Linked DNA regions of Oryctolagus cuniculus. The protein of the gene in region 1 purifies or fractionates together with the protein of each later gene. This does not show direct contact. Links are inferred from orthologs where the notes say so. Each region holds a gene or a part of one and is shown on either strand. Other genes may lie near its edges. The genes, in order: FGFR1 and CD44.

Evidence for each region.
Region 2: the proteins of FGFR1 (region 1) and CD44 purify together in Homo sapiens (affinity purification with mass spectrometry; 3 studies listed by BioGRID and IntAct, counting the BioPlex papers as one, with this or other methods). This does not show direct contact. The link is inferred for Oryctolagus cuniculus from reciprocal best matches to the Homo sapiens genes FGFR1 and CD44.

What each region holds. Positions count from the first base shown.
Region 1 is NC_091433.1:88,150,614-88,162,570, forward strand, and holds the end of FGFR1 (fibroblast growth factor receptor 1), read right to left. Parts: intron 11,547-11,957; coding exon 11,396-11,546; intron 10,661-11,395; coding exon of another isoform or gene 10,516-10,660; intron 8,615-10,515; coding exon 8,411-8,614; intron 7,671-8,410; coding exon of another isoform or gene 7,670-7,670; coding exon 7,525-7,669; intron 7,333-7,524; coding exon 7,211-7,332; intron 6,767-7,210; coding exon 6,656-6,766; intron 5,579-6,655; coding exon 5,388-5,578; intron 4,933-5,387; coding exon 4,810-4,932; intron 4,629-4,809; coding exon 4,558-4,628; intron 4,329-4,557; coding exon 4,191-4,328; intron 4,039-4,190; coding exon 3,933-4,038; intron 3,850-3,932; coding exon 3,673-3,849; 3' UTR 2,795-3,672; downstream 1-2,794. UniProt on the Homo sapiens protein: Tyrosine-protein kinase that acts as a cell-surface receptor for fibroblast growth factors and plays an essential role in the regulation of embryonic development, cell proliferation, differentiation and migration.
Region 2 is NC_091432.1:30,848,211-30,860,629, reverse strand, and holds the start of CD44 (CD44 antigen), read left to right. Parts: upstream 1-5,232; 5' UTR 5,233-5,416; coding exon 5,417-5,483; intron 5,484-12,419. UniProt on the Homo sapiens protein: Cell-surface receptor that plays a role in cell-cell interactions, cell adhesion and migration, helping them to sense and respond to changes in the tissue microenvironment.

The DNA.
Region 1 (11,957 bases):
AGTCCCCATGGATCCTGCCACCGGCCTGGCGAGGCCACTCACAATAAATCTCCGCACCTTCAAGATGCTAGGTGTTTATTTCAGGTGTGTAAGTGTGGGGAAGGTATCAGTAGTTCAGCTGCTCAGTCCTGCTTCCGCTGAGTTATTTCCACATGCTGTTGGCCTGTCCTGCAATTTTTTCTGGCTCACTCTGTGAGCAGAATGGGAATGGTTAGGTCAAGGGACCCTGGTCTTGTGTTTTTGCTGAAGCTTGGCATGGGAGACGCCTGACACACCTCTTCCCATTCTTGCAACAGCAGGAAGTCACAGATGTTGCTTTGCTCTTATCACTAGGGCGCTCAGTGACTGGGTTCTACCATTATTAGACAGAATCCCATGCTGAAACCTAGCTGGTGGTGGCTCCAGTAAGTTACCAACAGCCAGCTCAGTTACCGGGGTGGGGTGGGGCAATGCCTGATTTGTAGCACTTACAGCCTCCCACCGTGGGAGATGTCAAGCTGTCAAAACCAAGTCACTGAACAATGCAGCTGGGAAGAGGTGCACACAACCGGTTCTTGAGAGCCAGCTCCAGAACACCCCCGCCCTGGCCCTCCTGGAGTAGATAGTTAAACCCACTGAACTGGCTGGGCACCAAGTTCCCCAAATACATCACTCTGAGGTGTCAAGACTTGGATCTGGGCAGCAGTACAGTATAAACGGTCCCGAACACTGGTGCCCATCTAGAGGGAATCCGCCCTGACCTGCTGCCTACCCTCTTCCTGGCTCTTACCACAGCGGAGGGGTGGAAAGCTGTCAGGAGGCTCCCAAGCTTTCCCCTTCCCCAGCTCTCTACCCTGCCCGACACACAGATGCCTTGGCTCGACCAGCTGCCAATAACCTCACCAGGCAGTTTAGGAATTCTTTATCCTTTTTCACTTGCAAGGTAGAGACAGATCTCCCACTGACTGGTTCACTCCCAAAACGCCTTCAAGAGCTATTGTTGGGCCAAAGCTGAGAACTGGGCTTCTCATGAGGGTGAACTTAAGTACTTGGGCCATCATCCCTTGCCTTCCATTAGCAGGAAGCTGGAGTTGGAAGCAGAAACTTGAACCCAGGCCCTCCGAGGTGGGATGCAGGTATCCCAAGCAGCTTCTGCATTCCTATGCCTAATGCCCAACCAGATTTCTGTGCTTTTAGTGCTAAAACCTAGGTTTAAAGATTTCCCATCCACCACCAGCACATGTTAGTATGCAGGCAGCTCAGACTTGAAAGGCTGGCCCATGAGCTGATGTTGACTGAGCATTTAGCTTGCTGGCTCCCCCCAGTGGCAGCTGACAAACACAGCGACTTCATTACCATTAAGATAAAATTTCTGCTTCTTCTGATACTCAATCTTACTTACCTGCGATCAATACATTACATTAGCAGTGCCAAGGGACTGATGATCCCCAGCCTACAGCAATTAGGAGAGGCGGGACGGCAATGGATGAATGCCGTGCTGATCCCAGGCCCCAGCCTTAACCCTCAGGAAACCAGAGAGATTCACTGCCTTGACAGAAGTCTTCATTACAGACTGGATTCCTTCCCCAGGAGACCCAATCTGGTCATCTAAGTAAAATGGCCATTTCATTTTCTCTCAGGTCAATGTCACTACCTTTTATCTGACAGCCAGCCAGGTCTCTGGGGATCCTTGCGGGTGACTTGAGCAGCAACAGCAAGGACATCACTGTCACAAATAACAGTGCCTTCTACTTCTCTAGTGCCGCTGCTGAAAGCACACACAGGTCTTCGCAGGTTCTCCACGCACTCACACCACCAAGGGCCAAGGCAGAAATCACCGCCGCCATACAAGGGAGACATGCCACCCTTCGGTCTTGGAGGGAAATGATTTTGAGAGCTAAAATCCACTTCCTAGCTCTGTTCACCCAATCATGCCCTCTTTAAACATAAATGCTAACATTTACAGACATGAGATTCTCCCAATGGTGGGACCAACACTGCAGCTGCTAAAAAAAAACCCACTGAGCTAGAAAGGGAACTTAAAGCAGTGACCCCGTTTCCCTTGCAGAAACGAGACTGCACTGAGAAGGCTGAGGGGCCTGAACCATTAAGGGTTCAGGACCCGCTGGGTGAGGACAAGCGACACCAGCAGGTGGCAGAAGTAAATTTCCAAGCAGCCAAAACCCAAACCCTTTCAGGGAATTTTTCCCCCTTTTCCTGGGGGATGGGATGGAGTTTATACAGGAACAGCTACAGGAAGTCAAGTTCAGAGACTGCCCCAGCCAAGGTGGCCTGGTCACAGAAGAACTATCTGTGGGAAGACAATGAAGCAGCTTTTTAGGTGACAAGTTTTCCCTCCCAGGACCCAGCAGAGATGAAGCCACGCCCACATGGGCAGAGGGTGGGGGAGAAACTGGGACCTAGGTTTGAGTTTTCTGCAGATCTTTCGAGGATAAACCACTTTCCCTCTGTTATCACCTGAGCTCTAGCCCTTGGCTATGGCAAGGTCCCCCCTCCTCCTGCAACCCTCCCAGCCCCGTTTCCTCTGAGGAAACAACCTGTGGTAAAGGCTGCAGTGGCGTGGTGCTCTGCCCAGCGCCACCTGCCCTTGGTGCAGCTTTTCTGCCCCTCAGCCTTTCCAAGCGTGGTCACGGGTAGGAGGCTTGTCACCAGGGGTCTGGGTGTAGGAACCAGGAGGAAGACGTTTCAAGGAAACTGGGGAGCACGCGGTGCCCTCTGGACCCAGCCCTGGGCCCACGGGTGTCCCTTCTCTCCACTGGACACTCTCTCCCCTTTCACACAGCCCATATAAAAATGAAGCAGCAGCAATTTTTATTGAGGGACCTAAACTGAAAATAGGTTTAGAACATAATTTAAAAAAATAAAACAGCAAAAGTAGCAAAAAATATATGACCTTTTTAAAAACATTTTCCTTTTTTTTCCTTTTTTTTTTGTTTTTGCTTTTTTTTTTTTTTTTTTAATATATAGCAACCGATGCCTCCCAGCCGCCAGGAGCATCTTAGCCGGTGGGTAAATCTCTGGTCACGACCCTTTTAAAAAGACATGTAAATATATACTCAGATTTATACACTTTGTGTTTTCTTCATAGCTATGTACAAAGCCCCCAGTTTCTCAGGGCTGGGCCCCAGGGCCACAAAACTGCTCCCAGCCTGTCTGTCTCCTCTGGTGCCAGCTATTTGGTCAGCAAAGCGAGTTAGTATTGGAATTAATAAGCCACCGGCACCATCTAATGCGGAGCAGCTGTAGCCCTGAGGACAAGGCCCCCGCCACCAGCGAGCAAGGGCTGTGGAGCTTCCGGTGACACGGACAAACCGACAGAAGCGGGCAGCCTAGGGAGCTGTCCCTGGCCGGCCCGCTTGGCCCCGCGCCCGACCCTCCGGGCAGCGGCAAGCGGCAGGGGAGCGTTGGTCCATCCCGTGGGAGGGAACGGAGCGGCCCCTCAGCGAGCACCTGCCCCTTGGCTCCTCTCTCTCTCTCACGAGCAGGAGAAGCTAAGGGATGCCCGGGGTAGGGGGCGGCGGCGAAGGCAGCCTCGCAGGAAGGCCTCAAGTGGGCAGCCGGCTCCCGCCAGCAGGAAAGGGCGTGAGGAGAGGCAGTGAGTCCAGCAGGGGCTGTGGGCAAGGGCCACGGCTGACCGTGGGAGTCTGGGCGGGGAGAGACGGGCTGCGGTGGTCAGCGTCGTTTGAGTCCGCCATTGGCAAGTTGGGCCGAGCGTCGGGGCAGACACGGCTCCTCGGGCAACGGCTCGTGAGAAAAGACGGAGTCCTCGCCCGAGGAGCAGGTGGAGCTTCGGGTGTCGGGAAAGCTGGGCGAGTACTGGTCCAGGGGCATGGACAGGTCCAGGTACTCCTGCGACGGGACACAGGTGCCGGAACTCAAGCCCAGTCCCCATGCCATGGCGGGCCCCGTGCGCCAGCCTGGGGCAGCCATACCTGGTTGGAGGTCAAGGCCACAATGCGGTCCAGGTCTTCTACCAGCTGCTTGAAGGTGGGCCTCTGGGAGGGCACTGCGTGCCAGCAGTCCCGCATCATCATGTACCTGCGGCAGCAGAGCGGAAGTGCAGTCAGGGCGGAAGGGCACCAGCGCGAGAGAAAGGTGGCCTTCCGGGGGCGGGTTTCGAATGGCCACGCCCCGGAAGGGGAGGAGCCCCACAGCATCCCGCTCCCCCAAGACCTCAGAGGCCGGCTTACAGCTCATTGGTGCAGTTGCTGGGCTTGTCCATGCGGTGGCCTTCCTTCAGCAGCTTGAAAAGCTCCTCCACAGGCACGCCGGGGTACGGGGAGCCGCCCAGGGTGAAGATTTCCCACAGGAGCACCCCAAAAGACCACCTGCGGATGCGCACACGGCCACTGCACCTGGCGCCAGCTCAGGCTTCCCTGTCTCCCGTGCACCCTCCTAGGCCTCCCTTCCCCCAAAAAGGGAGGGCCCGGGGGGCTGGAGCAGAGGAACAGCCGCCGTGGTTGGCCACGCTGGCCTTCCAGCTTCCGGCCACAAAGGCTGGCCAGGAGGGCATGGTCCTGGAACTCCCCTCTCCCGCTGTCCCCCGGCCGGACTCACACATCACTCTGATGGGTGTAGATCCGATCGAACAACGCCTCGGGCGCCATCCACTTCACGGGCAGCCGGCCCTGCAGGCAGTATGGAGGGGAGAGGTGGAGAGTAGGGGTGGCTCAGCAGGTGCCACACACCCAACCTATGCTACTACCCCCCAGCTTCTCGGCCAAAGCTGTCCACCCTGGCTAAAATTTCAAACAAACAGCCAAGTGGGAGGAGCCGCCTGGCGGGAGCAGCGGCAGCCTGGGCACTCACGTTGGTCGTCTTTTTGTAGTAGTCGATGTGGTGAATGTCTCGTGCTAGGCCGAAGTCGGCGATCTTCATCACGTTGTCCTCCGTCACCAGGACGTTCCTGGCGGCCAGGTCTCTGTGTATGCACTGCGGAGAGTACAGAGCACAGGGCGCCGGGCAGGTGAGGCACCACCACTGGGAAACGGATCCCGGCTTCTCAGCAAACCCACTTCCCTGCGTCCTTAGTTTTAGCTGGCTGAGCCTTCATGTCTGTGACTGCCTGTAGGGTTGTGTGCGCCAAGCTCCATGTTCCCACCTGCAGCAGAGCCACCCAGAACTCTGACAGGCGCTGTCCCATGGTGCCCCCGGACATCAGTATTAGCCTCAGTTTGTGCTAAGTGGCTTGCCTGAGGCCATGCAGAAAGTGGGACCGCACAGACGAGAATCAAATCGAGTCTGACTGCTGTGCTGCCCCTCCCCCCACTTCCCGGACAGCCCAAGACAGCGCGCGGAGAATGGAGATTACACAGGCTGGGGAAGCAGAGGAGGACTCGGTTCCCACGACGGACGACCTCCCCCTGGGGAGTCCTTCGGGTCAGTACCTTCTTGGAGGCGAGGTATTCCATGCCTCGGGCCACCTGGTAGGCGCAGGACACCAGGTCCTTGGAGGAGAGCTGCTCCTCGGGGTTGTGGCTGGGGTTGTAACAGTATTCCAGCCCCGGGGGCCGCCGGGCCTGCAGGTACTCCCGCAGGTTGCCCTTGGAGGCGTACTCCACGATGACGTACAAGGGACCTGGGAGCACAGGAGGCAGTCACCAAGGCAGGGGCAGGTGAGCAGGTTTTGTGTCACAACGAAGTGGTACCCCAACACCGTACATCTGCTCCCCTTCCTGCTTCCTCTTTGGGGGACCAGGGAAAGTCATTCTATTCCCCAAAGAAAGTCAGGGAAAGAATTCCTCCTGGGGCTGGTGTTGTGGCGCAATGTGGTTAAAAGCTGCCACCTGCAACACCAGCATCCCGTATGAGCATCAGTTCAAGTCCCAGCTGCTCCACTTCTGATCCAGCTCCCTAATGTACCTCAGAAAGCAGCAGAGGATGGCCCAAGTGCTTGGGCCCCTGCCACCCAACGCAGGACACCTAGATGGAGTTCCAGGCTCCTGGCTTTGGCCTGGCCCAGCTCCGGCTGTTGTGGCCATCTGAGAAGTGAACCAGTAATTAGAAGATCTCTCTAATTCAGCCTTTCAATCAATCAATCAATCAATAAAATGTTCTGCTGGTTCACTCTCCAATTGGCCGCAACAATTGGAGCTGTGCCAATTGAAGCCAGGAGCCAGGAGCCTCTTCCAGGTCTCCCATGCAGGTGCAGAGGTCCAAGGACCTGGGCCATCTTCCACTGCTTTCCCAGGCCACAGCAGAGAGCTGGATTAGAAGTAGAGCAGCTGGGACTCGAACCGGCAGGATGCCGGCACTGTAGCCGGCAACTTTACCTGCTATGTCACAGTGAGTGCTGGCCCTCAAAATTAAAACAAACAAAAAACCCAAACAACCAAATAATTATTCTTAAAAAAAAAAAAAAAAAGAGAGAGATTCTTTCCAACGTAATCCAAAGTTCCTGAGCAAAACTGGGGGTTGGGGGGTGACAGCCCTTGCTGAAGCCACAGCTGGCTCACCTGTTCCTGCCCACACATCATGTGTGGGACTCCAGTGTCTGTGTCCTGGAGCAGCAATGGACAGCAGCCCAGACCCGAGGAGATACTCTGCAGTCACTGCTACACAGGCCTCCCTCCCTCCCCTCTGAGTGCAGCCCCCTCCCGCCAGCCTGGTCGGTCTGCTGCAGGTGATGGGAGGGCCAGCCCGGCTCTGTGCCTACCGTCCTGCGTGCAGGCCCCCAGCAGGTTGATGATGTTCTTGTGCTTCCCAATCATCTTCATCATCTCCATTTCTGAGATCAGATCGGAAAGATCTTTCTCTGTTGCATCCGCTTTACACATAAACCAGAAAACGGCATGAGACTCCTTTGCTCTGGGAGGGAGCAGGGCAGGATAAAAGCCAAGGGGACCAGCAGACTGTGTGCCCGAGGGACCCCTTTGTGCAGAGGCTCCCTCCCGCTCTGCTCCTCCACCAAACACTTCATTTCCCTGCTCTCATATGGGAGTACTGTTGTGAGTGAGGCAGGGGCAACGGTGAGCAAGCTGAAACACACACCTGACTACAGCCTAGGCTGGTGTGCAAGGAACAGAGGGAGGAGACACTGCTCTCGCAGTGCAGAGCGCCCCTCCCACTCCCAGGTAAGCTCAAGAGGCAGCAAAGCAGGCAGGGGCAGGGAAAGCACCAGAGGAGGGGTCCGATTCGGCGGGCGGCTGCACACAGTCTGCTCGGAAGACGGGAAGGGGCTGTTTTACGCAGAGACACAAGCATCACTCACACTTCAACATCTTCACGGCCACTTTGGTCACACGGTTGGGTTTGTCCTTGTCCAGCCCAATGGCCTCCGCCAACACCACCTGCCCGAAGCAGCCCTCTCCCAGGGGTTTGCCCAAGACCAGTCTTTGGCAGGGAGGAGGGAGAGAAATTGGCAAGAGTCAGGGTTGGTAAATGCCAAACACACAGAGGATACCCAAAGGCAAGCAAGAAATGGACAGGATTCTGTCTGGAGGCACTGCACATGCCTTGACTCCCCGGAAGGTCCTGGCACCCACAATCTCCACCCTAAGAGCCACAACAAAGGGGTGTCCTCACCTGTCTCGAGGCAGCTCCCAGCGAGGGTCTTCGGGCAGCTCATATTCAGAGACCCCAGCTAACATGGGGGTCCCGCTGGAGGAGAGCCGTGAGGGCCGAACCAGAAGAACCCCTGAATTCATGGATGCACTGGAGTCAGCCGACACCTATAGGGAAGAGTGGGGTTACCTTCTAGCAAGGGGATGGGATGCAGCCGCAGAAGCCTGAGTCTCTTGCGTCTGAGGTTCCTTCCCCAACGTGGAGCCGCAGAAAGACTGCGGGAGGCCGGGAGACCCGTGTTCTCATCCTGACTTATTTCTGCCACTGATCAGCTGTGTTGGGCTTCACTCACCTTGGAAATAGCAGACCACACACACCTCTCCCAGCATGACCTGCCACAACGCAACACTGCAGTAATGACTCTCATTCGTGCCCCAATTCCTGGCAAAGACCCTGCCTTGGATGATGGATTTCTAACGCCCAAAGTTAGTTCCAGAGTTTGCACAGGGTTCTGAGTGCCCGCCACTCAGACCTGGGAACTGACTTGGGTCCTCTTCTCTCTACCCTGCTTCTCTGTCCCTTCAGCTGGCCCTGGGAGGTGCTCAGATACACGGCATCAGCTACACATACAGACCACACAGGACTCTCTCCCCATGCATGTGAACAGGGTCGTTTCAACAGGGGCATGGAGGGTACAGGGAATTTTCTAGGCTAGACCAGTGTGAAACTGACTCTGGAACACTGGGTTTAGGCCCTTCTTCTAACACGCCTGGCCCAGAAGTCAGAAAGCAAAGCCTAAAGGGGGAGAGGAGGGACGGTGGAGAGGCTGAGGCATCGGGGGACCCTGCGGATGTCCCCGGAGGCACAGCAAGAGAAAGCGCAAGCGTGCAAATCCCCCATCTACTTTCTGTTACCTGTCTGCGCAGGGGGATGCTCTTGGCCAGCTTGTGCACGGCCATCTGGCTGTGGAAGTCGCTCTTCTTGGTGCCACTCTTCATCTTGTAGATGATGACGGAGCCCACCATGCAGGAGATGAGGAAGGCCCCCGTGCAATAGATGATGATCTCCAGGTACAGGGGCGATGTCATCACGGCTGGTCTCTCTTCCAGGGCTGAGTCGGTGTGAACAGGGTGTTAGCAGGTGCAGGGGAGCCCCAGGCTGACAAGGGGTTTCCCCACTGCATTAGAAAAACAACACCCATCTCCTCTGCCTCATTTAGGGGTGTTCAGAAGATGTAAGCTAGGGGTGGGGTTCTGGCACCGAGAGGGTCAGGCATCCTGGGATCCCTGAGGCGTCCTTAACCGGATGCAAAGTCCCTAAGTGCTAAGCACTAGACATCTATTCTCATTTGGGAGCCTCCTCACTCAGCTGCGGCTGGGGGGATGGTTGGATACCAGGTATCCCCTCTCAGGTATCCCGAGAGGGGCAGCTGAGAAGTCACTTCTGGATGCCTTTCTCAGTGTCACTGCAGAGCCTCGGACACTTATCCCATGGGGACAGACCGTTTCTGATGAGGTCCCAGAGGCAGGGCCGAGGCCTTGGTCACTTGTGTCTGCCCCAGCACCTGAGTGTGGGCGGCGGCACCCGGCCTGTGTCCTGACACCTGTGTCAGTCACCTCCACTAGACCAGACATGTAAATATTTACACCTAGCCAAGCCACTTGCAAAGGGATTCCACTTCCCAACGTGTCTGAATTGTTTTTTCTGTGTAGTTCTCACAAGAGTTCTACTCACGGGCTTTACCTCCTAACAAACACTCACAAAGGAAAAGGGAGCGGCAGGTGCCTTGTTTTATTCTCTGCCTGCCCTCTTTCCATCTGGAACTCACTGCCACCCCCCAAAAGCCAAGCCAGTTCAGCCCACCTGTCTGTACCCGGGAGAGAACTCTCATCCCAGCCCCACCCTCGCGAGGGGCCCCTCTTCCCGTCACCGCTGTCTCCCCTCCTGATCCGCCCCTCAGAAACCCTGCAGCCAGCCACAGAGGTGGCGGGAGTTATCCCCACCCCAACCCAGAGAGAGGCACAGGACGAGGCCCAGGCCCAGGCCCTTGAGGACCTCAAGGCCTGACCGGCAGACGACAGAGCTGATGACAGAAGTGTTTCTGTTTTACTCCTTTCCCCAACGTCGAGAAACAAAAGACAAATGATGGGGTGCACAGACAGACGGGACGAAGACAGGACGACGATGAAAACAGAGAACACTTCTGTGCCTCAAGTGGAGGGGGGTGAGGACAGAAGGGGGCGGAGTCAGACAGGAGAGCAGATGGCACCCAGACCCACATGCGGGACACGCGGAGATGCAGCACACCCAGCTCCGGTCACCACCACCCTGCACAGCTGCAGGCTTCTTCCTTCCTGGCTCGACACAGACCTCCCGCCGGGGACAGCAGCCAGAGAGGATGCAGGGGGACTGCCATGGCCCCACTGAGGCTGCCTGAGGCAGGCCTGACTTAGAGCAGGTCGTGTTCACTTGTCTAGAAAGGTGGCTTCTCCCCAGCCAGAGGACCTGGCATGCAGGCTGGACAAGTGCCGCTCCCTACAAGCATTGAGCACCTCTGGGCTGAGGGCCTACATGCAGTGTGAAGAGCAGGGCTCTTTCTCAAACTTTTGGGATTGGTGCAAAAAAATAAAAAAATAAAATAAATAAATAAATCAGGTATCTCAGACACCCAGGGACCTAGGGGAGGCTGCAGGACCCAAGGACAGGAGAAGCCTGCCCTGCAGGAGAGCCCGGCTGCCGAAATGAATCCAGATCCCCAGCATGCATTGCATTGGCCACGGAGGGGACAGAGCCAGACGCAGGTGCACCAGTGGGAGGCTGCTGTTGTTCCCGCAAGACCAGGAAAGCTCCATAGCGAGCCTTCAATGCCACAGCCAACAGGGCGTGCGGCAGGCAAGAGCCCACTGCTCTCTCTCTCCCGGGGCTCTGTGTCTCCCCCGCCGGCCCCACAATGCATGCTCCCCCGTGCCCATGGCGAGGGCAGGACAGCGAGAGGAGCAGTGCAGTGTATACCTTCCAGAACGGTCAGCCATGCAGAGTGATGGGAGAGTCCGATAGAGTTACCCGCCAAGCACGTATACTCGCCCGCGTCCTCGAAGGAGACGTTCCGCAAGTGAAGCACCTCCATCTCTTTGTCAGTGGTGTTAACTCCGGCAGTCTAGGAAGAGACAACGGAAGCGGAATGGACAAGCGCGGGACGCGAGACCTCGAGGAGGCACCGAGACAGGGAAGGGTGGGGGAGTGCGCAGAGGGGAGGCCACCAGAGCGGGAGATGCTCCCCAGCGTCTCCTTTGCAACAAGGAACACATAGAAACCACCAGCAGCGGGACCTGTTAGAGAGGAAGAGAGTGCGGCCCTGGGGAGGAAGTCCAGCAGGTCACGGCTGGTTACGACCCGTCACCAGGCGCCGGCAGCCACTGGCCCATCCCAGCATGCGGGCAGCGGGCGGCATGGAGAAATGGGGCCCGGCCAGTAGGTGGCTGTTTGGTTTCAGGTCGAGATAAGTGGAGAGGGGGGCACACAGGAGGGATGGAAGGGTGCACGCACACACACACACACACATACGCAGCCTGCAGACCTGGGCCTCTGCAAGGGAACACCTGGCCCCTTTTCTGATCTGCAGCATCATTCATAGCACAGCGTGGCTGTGTCCCCAGGAGTCCACGCACAGCCACACACCCAGCCAGGGGACACACATAAGGCACAGAGGGAACCAGCAGATACCAACACAGAACTAAACCAAACCAGCCTCCCAGGCCGAGTATTTTTCCATGGCTCTGGGCACTAGGATACAGAAGATAAGAGGGAGAGTCCGGCGCTGGCTTCCCACTGCTCCAGGGCGTGGGGCCGACATGAAATTCCCAGCACAGGGTCCCATCCGTCTCCCCATTACCTTTTGCCACAGGTCTGGTGACAGTGAGCCACGCAGACTGGTTAGCTTCACCAATATAATTGGAAACCTTACACACATACTGCCCGCTCTGGGCCTCTGTCACATTGAACAAGGTCAGCACCTCTGCATCCGAGCTATTAATCCCCGAATGCTGGAACAAACCAACGACACACCAGTCAGTCGCGCAAGCGTGGCCACCTGGCCGTCCTCTGCTCCCATGTACCTTCCAGGCAAGGGACGCGGTCCAAGGGACTTTGCATCTCTCCTTGTTTTAGTGGAACAGAACAAGCTGACATCAAAAGCCCCAAGCATTTCATAAAGGAAAAGAAAACAAAACAAAAACACCCACTGTCCCAAATCTCATGTCCTGTCTGTGTGAAATCCATCCTCCAGGACTGGGGCAGGGACTGTAAATGGACACGGGGCCAAGCCCAAGGCCCCTGCCCCATTTCCTTCAGAACAATTTCTGCACCAGTAGCCAAGAGAAGGGACAGCTAGTAAATCTTCGGGACGGGCAGCCTGGGGAGGATGAGGTCTAACTGTGGGACAAGGTGGTAAACAG
Region 2 (12,419 bases), on another chromosome or scaffold:
CAACCCCATGTTTCCCAACCTTGCTCTTCACACGCCTGCTGACGTTTGACTTAGAGTTGACTGTTTTTGCTTAAAAGCAACAGGAGTCATTATTCCTAGTCTGAAGCCATCAAGCCCAGATATTTCAGCAAAAGCACCTGGTCTACCAGAATGAGCAACAAGCTGGCTCCACCGTAGTCCTCCCAAAGCAGTCACCACAGGCAGCACACTGCTGTGGCTTTCATGTAGCATCTGTCAAGTCATCTGAGAGCTTCCACCTCCTAGCACATGTGATTCCCCAAAAACCCCTGTGGGCCGGGCGGGGAGGGAGGAGAGTCACAGCCATCCAGGGATTTACGTAATGCTTATTTATAGAGCGCGTTCCATGTTCTGGAGACGGAGTGTGGCGGATACCGACAGAGAGCCGAGGATGCACAGGTGGCCCTGTTCTCCCGTAGTGTGGAGCTTGGTGGCCAGGGAGCCGATGGACGTTCTGCCCTCCTGTGTGCCACCATTAGCAAGGACTCCAGGAAACCATCTTCATGGCTTATTTCACCGCGTACTCATAGCACACTAGGAGACAGGGCTCTCTATCTTATTTTGTGGCTTGGGAGTTGAAATGCAGTGAGGTTCTGTCACTGGGCTGATAAGACAAGAGCTGCCGGTGCTCAGACTTGGGCTTTCTCAGACCCAGGCTGCCGATCGTAGTCTTTCCCAACAGCACAAGCTCGTGCTGACCCAGATGAATCTGAGCTCTCTTTTCCAGTCTCCCACATCCCATGCTTTGGCTTAGAAAGGTATCCGGTGTGATATGAACCAGATACAGAGCATCTAAAATTCATCATTATAAAGATTTCAGTCTTTATAGAGGCTCAACGCAGTGTGGAAAAGCTGTTGTGTGACTAATTGTGTTTGAAGAGTGTCCTTGTTTGGAGCGGAAAGAGGCTGGGGGTGGGCTTAGCGAATGATCCAGGCTGACCATGACCCAGTCAGTCACCTCATCAACTCTGTGAAATGAGTCATTTGTGGTGTGGGGGTCAGCAGCCTCAGTCCCTCAGTAAACTATCGGGAAGGGGACAGACAAAAGCCTCCCTGCTGGGAGAATTAGCCCAACTGCACCCACTAGAATTTGCATGCCTGGCTACAGTTTGCAAAGCACTTTCAGATCAAATTTTTTTTTTAATTGGTAGTGATTGTTTACTGCATTAACTGCTAAACTGACCAGGATTCGAAACGATCTTGTTTGGTGGTTTTTTACATATCTTCTTAAGAGTAAAACCAGCCGTCAAAATGAAATCTCACATATGAAATTCTCCTGTATAAAATAGACACAAGTGGAACTTCTGCGGTGCGGATGGGGATGGCAAGGGAAAGGAGCAGGGGAGGGGAGGCCCAGCCAACTTGGAAGCCTTTGCCCTGACCTCTGGCCCTGTTTCTTAGGGGTTAGCGAGGAACTTCAGGTTCCATGAAACACAGGGAGACAAACGTTGTTCCTACTTCAATCCTTTCCCCCAAAGAAGGCGGACTCCTGGTGGCAGCATGAGGTGTGCAAGGCCAGGCATCCTCCTGATGGGAAGACCACCTGGGCTGGCTCCTTACCTGGTTAGAGCCCAGAGCTCCACAGCTCCGCCTGGGAACCAGTTGGCCCAGGTTGATTCAGGCGAGTGTCCCTCTGGTCGTGGAGAGTGGCAGGGCAGAGTTTTCAATGCCGGCTCTGCAGGCACTATCATCATTTCAGACAGGCCGACCTTGGAGCCATGGCAGGCCAGCTACTGAGCTGCTGAGGAACAGGCCCCAATAATGGATTTTCACCTCCAGATATTCTCCCAGGAAATGGAGGTAAAGTAGCTGACAGCCAAACGGACTCAAAAACTTTGTACAAAAAAAGGTGAAGGTTGTACAGTATTGTGAATGTTCCAGTGCCACTTGGCCTACTCTCCTTCAAATGGTAAATTTTATGTTATCTGCATATTAACATAATAATCATTTTAAAACTTCCACCGGCTCCTTATTCCTGGTGAGATCAAGTTCAAATTCTCTGGTTTCCTTATAATCTGGCCTCTGTCTACGTCTTCAGCCTCATGTCTCCCTGTTCCCCTTCCAAACTCTTCATCCAAATTACTATTCAAATAATTCTCATATTTATGGTTCTTGCTGTATGCATGTGCAGGCTCCTGCCTTATATATGGAGGACTTTCAAGTCATTTGGTCCTTGCCAATTCTAGGAAGTAGATACTGTTACTGAGCTCATTTATACTTGAGGAAAGTGAGCATGGAAAGGCTTATTGGTGGGGCCGGTGCTGTGGCACAGTAGGTGAACATCCACAGAGGGCCAGCAGCATCCCAGATGGGTGCTGGTTCGAGTCCTGGCTGCGCCACTTCTTTTTTTTTTTTTCTTTCCTTTTTTAAAATTTTTATTTATTTATTTTTATTTGACAGGTAGAGTTATAGACAGTGAGAGAAAGGTCTTCCTTCCATTGGTTCACCCCCAAAATGGCCACACAGATCTGAAGCCAGGAGCCAGGTGCTTCTCCTGGTCTCCTGTGCGGGTGCAGGGGCCCAAGCACTTGGGCCATCCTCCACTGCCCTCCCATGCCACAGCAGAGAGCTGGACTGGAAGAGGAGCAACCGGGACAGAATCCGGTGCCCCAACCGAGACTGGAACCTGGGGTGTTGGTGCCATAGAAGGAAGATCAGCTCCCCAAGAACGAGTGTGACTCCCTACTCTAGGACTGACAGCACCCTGAAAACACATAAAGTTGTGGTTCTAGGAGCTCTCTTGGCCACCAAAATCTCAGATGCTCAAATCCTGTATATAGAATGTAATTATGAAATATATGAAGTTTGTGTCCCTTAAATAAAAGGTTTCTGGGGGAAAAGAAAAGAATGGTGTAGTATTTACATATAACCTATGCGGAATGTGTCACGTATTTTAAATCATCTAAAAGTGACTTATTACATCTCATACAACATGAAGGCCATGTAAATCACTGTTTTACTGTATCACTTAGGGGATAAAGGAAAAACGCTGTATATATAACAATGTTTTCTTCCCCAAATGTTTTTGATCCACTGATACAAGGGCTGGCTATTTTATACTGTGGGTAACAGTCTTTTCGGTTTTTAAAAATATTGTTATTTATTCATTTATGTTTTATTTGAGATATAAACAGAAAGAGAGGCAGACAAAGAGTGGTCCCATCTGCTGGGTTACTCCTCAAATGCCTGCAGCAGCAAGGCTGGATCAAGCCAAAGCCAGGAGCTCCAGGAACTCAGTCCAGGTCTCTCAGATGGGTGGCAGAGATCCAAGTATTTGAGCCATCAGCAGCAGCCTCATGAGATGTGCATTAGCAGGAAGCTGGAATCAGAAGCAGAGCCAGCACTCAAACCCAGGCACGAGATGTGGGATACAGGGGTCCCAAGCAGTGCCTTCACTGCCAAGTCAAACACCCACCCGGAAAGTTCGCTTTCCTATCAGCATGGACAGTCCCTAAAGACAGGGTCAGGCCTCATCTATCTTGAGACTTTTTTGTGCCCATTACTCATTTGATGAGTAAATGGGTAAGCAGGTGGCTGGGTGCCTCACTGCCCAGTTTTCCCATTTCTTTCAATAAATTACAGAATCTTGCCTTTCCTTGGAAATTCAAGCATGATTCCTTCAGGACCTTGCCACAGCTACAGATGGTCACTTTCACTTTCTGTGCATTGCCCAAGGCAAGAAGTTCATTGAGATCTACTCTCAGTAGTCCACATTAAAACTGCTTTTGCTTTCCAAACACTGCACCATAGTATCTTCTAGGTGAAGATGGAATTAGGATCCAAAATGTAGTTTTTTATATCTTCAAACTTGAAATGCCTTCCTGAAAGAACATGACAGTCGAGGCCAGCGCTGTGGTATAGCGGGTAAAGCTGCTGCCTGCAGTGCCGGCATCCCTTATAGGCACTGGTTCGAGTCCCAGCTGCTCCACTTCCTATCCAGCTCTCTGCTATAGCCTTGGAAAGCAGTAGAAGATAGCTCAAGTCCTTGGGCCCCTGCACCCTCATGGGAGACCAGGAAGAAGCTCCTGGCTCCTGGCTTTGCATTAGCACAGCTCTGGAGAGTGAACCAGTGGATGGAAGACCTCTCTCTCTCTCTCTTGCTGCCTCTCCTTCTCTCTCTGTGTAACTCTGCCTTTCAAATAAATAAATAAATCTTTAAAGAAGAAAACAAACATGACAGTCCCTTCTCCTGTTTAGATTTACTAGGTAGGCTACACTGGGGAGAGTAGATGAATGTTTGTGTAGAATGTGGTATAAAAGGGAGCAGGAAAGGAGGGTTGAATGTGGGGGTGGATGACAGCACAGATAAATGATGGGTAGAAATGTTGATGATGGATGGATGTGAGATGAATGGATACATCAACTAACAGAGAGGTGTTTGGAAAGGAGATGTTTCTGGGTCGGGAGCACAAAGAGATGTGAAAGCGGAGGTACAGAATGGTGGAGGAGCAGCTGTGTGGGAGGATGTGCGGAAGAAAAGGCGGTTGGATGGATGGATGGCTGGTTGAATGGATGGAGCCAGTGGATCAGTAGATGAATGGGAAGATGAATGGATTTGAACAGATAATAGATGGACAGTGGGCCGGATGGATATTAGCGCTCCGGAAGTACGTAAGGAAAGATGGGTGGATAGATGGACGGTGAATGGAAGGTTATTCAGGAGGAAGACTGAGTGTGTGGGCACAGAATGAACGCGGCGGTTGCGGGATCCAAATCGCAGCCCCAGGGCGGGCCTTGGGTCGCTTTCCCTGAGCAGTCCTAAGGAGAAGCAAAACGTCACTGCCACCGACGATGCGGACCTCACTATTCTTCGAAGGGAAGAAGAATGCACTCTGCCCTCCTCCCCTGGGAGGAAACCTAAGCCCCTGCCTCCCCCACCTCCAATCCTCGCCCAGGACGCCCACCTGCCTGGGAGACCCAGAAATGCTCCCCAAACCAAATGCAAAAAGAAAGCTAGCGGGAAAGGAGAGGCAGAGGCTAAACACAAGGGAGGGAGGTTTTAGGGGCTCAGTCATCCTAGCAAGCGGCGGAGCCAGCTGACGGGCGTCCCGGGGCGCACGGACTGGGGGCGCAGGGAGTCCGCAGGCAGCCAGGGCGGGCAGGGGCGGAGGCCCGCGCCAAGGACTGCTGGTACGTCTTTAAACCTCCGCCGGCGCCTTAGACACAGCCCCTCGCTTGGGTGTGTCCTGCGCTCGCTCCCTCCCTCTTAGGTCACTTTCAAGCCTCGAATAAAAACTGCAGCCAACTTCCGAGGCGGCCTCATTGCCCAGCGGCCCCCAACCTCTGACAGCTTCGGTCCGCCCCGTGCGCCCCGTCCTCCACCGGCCCCCGCCCCGCGCCCCGGGACCTCCCCTCCTCCAGCACCACCGCTTGCTCACTCGATTCGCTGGGACACACCATGGACAAGTTTTGGTGGCGCGCAGCCTGGGGACTCTGCCTAGTGCAGCTGAGCCTGGCGCAGATCGGTGAGTGCCCGCCGCAGCCCAGGGCGGCGGCAGGGGTGTCCGCAGTGTCCAGGGAGCAGCCGGGCAGGAGCCCGGTAGATTGAGTCCGCCCTGGGAGGCTGGAGTCAAGTGGGGCGGTGAGTGACCTGAACTGAGTTCAGGAGAGCAGCGCTGGGATTTGCGCTAAGCGGTTGGCGAGTCTGTCGGTGGGAAGCACCGTTTGGTGGAGTGGAAAAGGAGGCAGAGAGTTGGCCGGGCAGGCTGCCCTCTCAAGTTCGGCGTGAGGGCGCCGGAGCTGGAGCACATGGCAGAATAACTGTACTTCTGGGTGCGCGCAGAGGCAGGGAGGGGAGCCAGAGCTAGGGTAGGGGCTGCTGGCAGGGTGGCCAGAGGTGATCAGAGTTACAGGGGTGGGAGCCGGAGGCAGTGAGCTTTCCAGAAAGAGCTCCTGTGTTCATGTGGCTGCCCAGTGAGCCTGATTTCCAACCTCTGGCTGTCTGGTCCTGCCCCTGACCACCCTAGCCTTGAACTTGAACCCTAGAACTTGAACCAACCCTGGAGATGAGGTTCTAGCCTGGGGCAAGGAGTGCGAATAAGAGGGACAATGACTGGGCGCCTGCTCAACTCTGCCAGCCTTCTGTTCTGCCAATCAGTTTGGGGAAATCCAAACAAGAATGTGGCTCCTGTTCCCTGCCCCTGCCTGGCAGTCTCACCCCAGGGAGGAGAGTCTGGACACCAGCGTGAAGTCAGGGACCTCGGAGCCAGGGCTCCAGTATCACATGCGAACAGACTGGTGCCTTTCTGTGGCCGCTGAGGGGCGTGCAGTGTGTGAGGTATTCTGGTGTGGCTCAACTCCAAGTGTTCCCTTTCTTTGTCTATATATGTACAGATAATTACACGGTTGATTTGCTTATCGCTTGGAAAATTAATTTTTCTTTCAACAAGTGCCAGCTGGGTCATTAAGACCGCTCAGCCTATGGTTCATAATACTCAGTGAGTGTTTATTAAACTCAGTTTGGGGGTATCCAGGAAAGCCAGAGACACAGTCCCACCTGGGTACTTTAGATGAGGCTAGGTTAAGGACCTAGAATTGCATTTCCTGAGGACAGAAGTAACAATAGTGGTAATAATAACAGCAAGAACAATGCTAGCTACCCCCTACTGCACCGTTCCCTGTGCAGGGCACTGTGTTAAATCCTTGGTCTGTGTTACCTCCTTGAACTCCCACAGTGGCCCATCATTGGGTCTGTTTTCTGGGAGGGAAACTGAGGCACAGAGAGGTTTCACACAGATAGGACTGTGCTGGGTTGGAACCCTGGCCCACTGAATGCCAAAGGCCAGGCTTAGGATGGGTTAGACTCAAAGGGAAGGGCCGACTCTTAAAGGAGCTCAGGGCAGGAGGGGCTCTGGGCAGGAACTGGAGCTCCAGCAGCCCCTTGAAACGCAGAAAGCTCAGGATGGGAGAGAAGAGACTCTTGGAAGCAGGGAGAGCGTTGGGGCCTGGTGTCAGAGGAGGGGGGCAGAGGAGGCTTCTCTGTGACCACCTGGGAGGTTTATTTGTACGCTGCCTACCTCCCTGCCGGGTCTTCTGCTTTGGTTCCAAGGTGTTCTGAATCCTGACTCCCTGCTTCTTCTAAAGGGTTCTACCTCCAAGTACTTGGCACCATCCTCAGCCTTGAGGCTCTCCCAGCGGGCTCGCTCCTGCCTGGGGTGCCTGTGGTCTCTCAGAACCTCCCTTCCTTTGGAGGAAGCACAGTGACTGTAGCTGCCTGGGCACGGGCTTTCACGTGCTCAGAAAGCTCTTTGGAAGGAAGGAACTGAGACTTGCAGAGGCGATGTGGCTTCATAGAGGGCTTGGGGCTGGGCAGGAAGACAGGGGAAGGAGAAGAAGGAGTTGCTTCTTGTTGGGGAGTGGTGGGCTCTGGAGGACAATGGGAAGCTGTGAAGTGGAGCAAGGCTTGTGGGTAGAAAGAAGCATCCAATCTTTGTATACAAAAGCGAAAGGTAGAGAAATGGCCCCATGTAGGTAAGGAATGTCAGTCCGAGAAGCTGAGTTGGAGAGTTGAATGAGGTGCTGTGGGTGGCTTAAAGAAAGTGGCCCTTGATAGAGGCCTGGGGGTGAGCCCCCCCCCACCCAAGCACATCATATCTCTGCTTCTCTGTGAGCTAGGTCATGGCTAGGGAACTGTGGCCTTGGCATTGAAAAACTGGATTGTGTCTGGGAATTGTGGGACTGGGAGTGGCAGACCCCTCCCTGTCCCCACTGAACTTTGTCCGGAGTTAGAGCTACAGCTGTGTTCCCATGTGCCCAAGTGAGGAAGCAACACTCCATCCCTACCAGGATTAGCACTGATTAATTCAAGGATTCCCCCTATTACACATTGGCCATGTACTTCCAGCAAAGGTGTGGTGACAAGATGAGTAGGAAAAAGTTCCATTTTCTTCCAAATTACCCCATGCAGGAGTGGATGCTAGGCATCCTGAAATTCCTAGTATATGACAGACTCCCTTTCATTCATTCAACAAATCTTTTCTGATTCATTTTCATAGACACAGAGACAGAGACAGACATTAAGGATTGTTTAGAAAAATCCCTTCTTTTTTCCAAGGAGGAAAAAAAAGACCCTGAAGGAAGTGGAAGAGTGACTTTCCCTCTCTGAGACTTGTTAGGATGTGAGGGCGGGGTGCTTGTGCCCGTTTGGTTAGGGAAATACCCCTGACTCGAGGAGGGAGGAGTCTGGCCCCCGGTCCTGTAGTGGGCGGGGAGGCTGTTGTCTGTTGGGGCAACAATATGTGTTCTATGCTCAAGTGCTATCTTGTGCATGCCTAGCAGTTCTGTCATTTACTCTGCCTTGTGCCAGCTTGGGTTTAATGTAAGAGCACTCTTGTGTGTTTAGTATAAGAACAACCATGTGTATTTAGTATCAGAGCAAGCTTGTGTGTTTAGTACAAGAGCAATCTTGTGTGTTTTGACAGAAGCAATCTTGTGTATTTCTTAGCTAACACTCAGGGAAGATGCTGTGGGGCTTCTAGCACCTGCAGGAACATAACCAGAGGGGTAGGAGAGCACTCCGATTTTCAAAGCTTGGTGCCTTGCTATTGTACTGTATGGTACAAAACGTGTTCCTAAAACCATAGGAAGTACCACTTAGCAAACAGCACCTGTACTGGGCATTAAGTCAGGGCTTGGCATAGATTCTCTGATAGGAGCCTCAGAGCAGCCGTGTGAATTACTACTGTTAACTCCGTGTGCCAGATAGAGAGATGGAGCCTCCGAGACACGATGTGACTCACCCACCGACCAAGTGCTGGAGCTGGGATTCCCCCTGTGTGAAATTCCCCCTGTTAGAATCCAGTGGCCACAGGCCTTCCATTCATTACTGTACCTGTGGAGGACTTTGGAAATTGTGTGTTGTTTTCCCACCCTGCCTGTCCCCTGGGCCTGGCACAGGTGAAGCCTGGTATGAGTGGCTTCTCTCTCCGCCCTCTTGCAGGCTGTAGACTCTTAGCTGCCTTGCCCTGTCTGGGGCTAGCCTGTCTCCACCCCACCCCACCCCCACCCCCCAGGCATGGCCACAGCTGTCGGAGATGCCAACCTAGTTATTTGCTTCTAAAATAAGTCAGTTCCCTTATCAGAGTCCAGCTGCCTTCTAGACATGCTCTCATTTGCAGGGTTTGGAAAAGAAAGAGAGAGAGAGAGAGGGAGGCTGTTTCTTTGTTGAAGAGACAAGTCAGGGCAATGTCCTTGTAAGGGCTGTCACCCTGACCCTGTAAGCACTCCAGTGGCATTGACCCTGAGAATCTGTCTTCAGAGGATCATCAGCAGGCTATGTGTGCCCTGGGAAGAAGTCTTGAGGTATCTAGGCAGTGGGCTGACATGGTTCTCTCTACTAAACTCAAGGATCTTGAACCGAAACCCGGTGAGGAGCACTAGGTGACACGTGGCCAACCAAGGGAGGTTTCAGATCTGCCTGCAGAGTCAGGCCTCCAGGCTGGGGTCCCCGAGGCAGAGGAGGTGGTGGGAATGCGAGCGGGGCCTCCCCAGCAGTCCGTCCTGGTTGGGAGTAGATCTGGGGCTGGGACAAGATAGCAGCAGCAGTTGTATTGCCAGCACCTCCATTGCAACTGACTCCACCCAGGGCCCGAGAAGGAAGTGGTTCTAGTGAAAGAAGCTGCGGCAGGTGGCAGATGCTGCCACGCACAGTGCAGTGTTCAAAGGGGATCTTTCATGTCTCAAAGAGAAATTCTGGGGTTTGCACAGCCAGAAGCTGATGACTCAATTTCCTTTGTGTCTGCTTGAATGGGAAGGACACAAATATTCTTTAGAATTACTGGGATAGGATGATGCTTTCTGCCTTAAATAAGAATTGCATTTTTTTTTTACTCACGTAGCCAGGTACAATTTTTTCTTAATAGTGTACTCCCCCAAAACTGGACAGCAGGAGTTTGGGAAGCCAGCCCAATTGGCCAGGAGCTTGGAAAGGCCCCTTCTAGGGCGTGTCGCTCTGGAGTCCTGTTGGCATGGATGCAGTGAGTGTGCAGTCCAGATATTCTTGAAGAGTCAGGATCTTGAATGTGCAAGAACTCTACCAATTGACATATGCTGTATATTTTGACTAAATGTCTCTGTATCTTTCTACAGATAAATACATGAGTTCATGTGATTATAAGTCAAACACTTTATAAGGCTTTTCACATAAAGAATTTCACATCTTTGCAACTTCTTAGTCTAGTGTCCGCAGAAATTGATATTTGGTTCAGAAAATATGTATACTTTGGAGAGAAATATAATATGTTATTTCTTGATCTTAGTGTGTGAATTACCAGGAGAAACCACATATTTGGTTCTTGTTTTCTAGATGTATACATCTCCATATTATGAGTGTGTGTGTACATATATTAGTACATGAGTCTGAACACATGTGCCGATATGCATGTGAATGTAGCTGGTCAGTCATTCTCTTTTTTTTTTTTTTTTTGACAGGCAGAGTGGACAGTGAAAGAGAGAGAGACAGAGAGAAAGGTCTTCCCTTGCCGTTGGTTCACCCTCCAATGGCCGCCGTAGCTGGCGTGCTGCGACCGACGCATCACACTGATCCGAAGGCAGGAGCCAGGTGCTTCTCCTGGTCTCCCATGCGGGTGCAGGGCCCAAGGACTTGGGCCATCCTCCACTGCACTCCCTGGCCACAGCAGAGAGCTGGCCTGGAAGAGGGGCAACCGGGACAGAATCTGGTGCCCCAACTGGGACTAGAACCCGGTGTGCTGGTGCCACAAGGCGGAGGATTAGCCTATTGAGCCATGGCACCGGCCCAGTCATTCTCTTTTTTTAAAAAAATATTTTATTTATTTGAAAGGCAGAGTTACGAGGTGTGGGGGCAGAGAGACAGACATCTTCCATCTGTTGGTTCACTCCCCAAATGACCGTAAAGGCCAGGGCTGGGACAGGCTGAAGCCAGGAGCCAGGAGCTTCAGTTGAGTGTCCATGTCAGTGCAGGAGCCCAAACACTCGGACCATCTTCCACTGCATTCCCAGGCATATCAGCAAGGAGCTGGATCTGAAGAGGAGTAGCTGGGACTTGAACCGGTGTTCATATGGGATGCCGGCATTGCAGGTGTTGGCCTAAACTGTTACACCACAATGTCAGCCCCGATCAGTCATTCTTATGGGCATCCCACACTGTGTTAGGTATTATGGGGGAATGAAAAGTACAGAAAAAAGGCCTTAACTGCAAGAACCTAGTGATTCTCCACGTGTAGCACAGTGCAATTGAGTGACAGCCTGCCAGTTCACACTGCAAAGCTAACAGCATCGCAGAGCTGAGGCAAGGCAAGGAGGCCTGGAGCAATCACTGAAAGCACTGGAGAGGAGGCAGCAGTGCAGTCAAGACAGGACTTGAGTGGGTAAAGAGGAAATGAGAAAGGGATGTGTCGACTTCTGCTCCCCACTATGAATTGATCCACCCCTGACCATGGTAATTATCTAGCCAAAGTGTCCAGTGTTTGTGTGCTACTTGCTCAGTGCACCTTGTAGTTAGGTAATGGGGAGTGGGTTGCCAGGAGGTAACAACTACTAGTCCTTGCCCCAGAGAATCTCACGGTCTCGTGAAGGCAGCTTCAACACTATTGGCGTGGGCCAGAAAGGGAGCTGCCCTTTGAGTTATGGGATATGTGGCAGTGTCTCTGATCTCTATACCCAATGTTCTGGTGGCACCAGTCTCCCCCTCTGGGGTGTAACCACCAAAAGTACCCCCCTAGACAGTTCCAAGCTGATGAGGGTGCAGTGGAATGTCAACCATCCCATAATCTCCTCAGTTGTTGGGATCCCAGGTGCAATAGGATGCCAACCATCCCACAACCTCATCTCTAAGAAGGTTGTATCCAGTTCTCAGAATTCTAGCTGGCCTCCATAAAGCTTCACAGTAAAATCACACGGGGTCATTTGGTGTGAGTTGATGGTACAAAGGATTGCTAAGGACATTCATTCACACCCTTCAAAAGGGAGAAAAATCCCAGCAAATCAAAACCTGACACATCATCTCTTATCCGCCATCCAGTCGGAGGCCCCCGATGTCGGGGATCATGAGGTGGTCCCCATCCTCAGTGATAGTCTATGGTGGTGACTGATAATTGCCTGTTAACCTGAAGTGAATGTCTAACATATGGAAATAACCATGTCCACATATAAAGAAGCATGCTGGCCAGTGTACTGAGGCTTCAGACACATTTATGTGCAGATGGTAATAGTGGTGGTGGCTGTGTTGCTTGGGACAAAGCCAACAAGGACTCTTGGCTGCCTGACTGGCCCCCTCAGGACTCATATTGGTTTTTCCAGAGAATTCACCCTTCTGATTGTGGCTTTGGTGGCTGCTTGCTGTGGCTGGGGATGCTGGTGTGACAGCAGGGTTACCAGATAGTTCGGTCAAGAAGGGAGTGGGAGCCTGGCAGGATGATGACAGC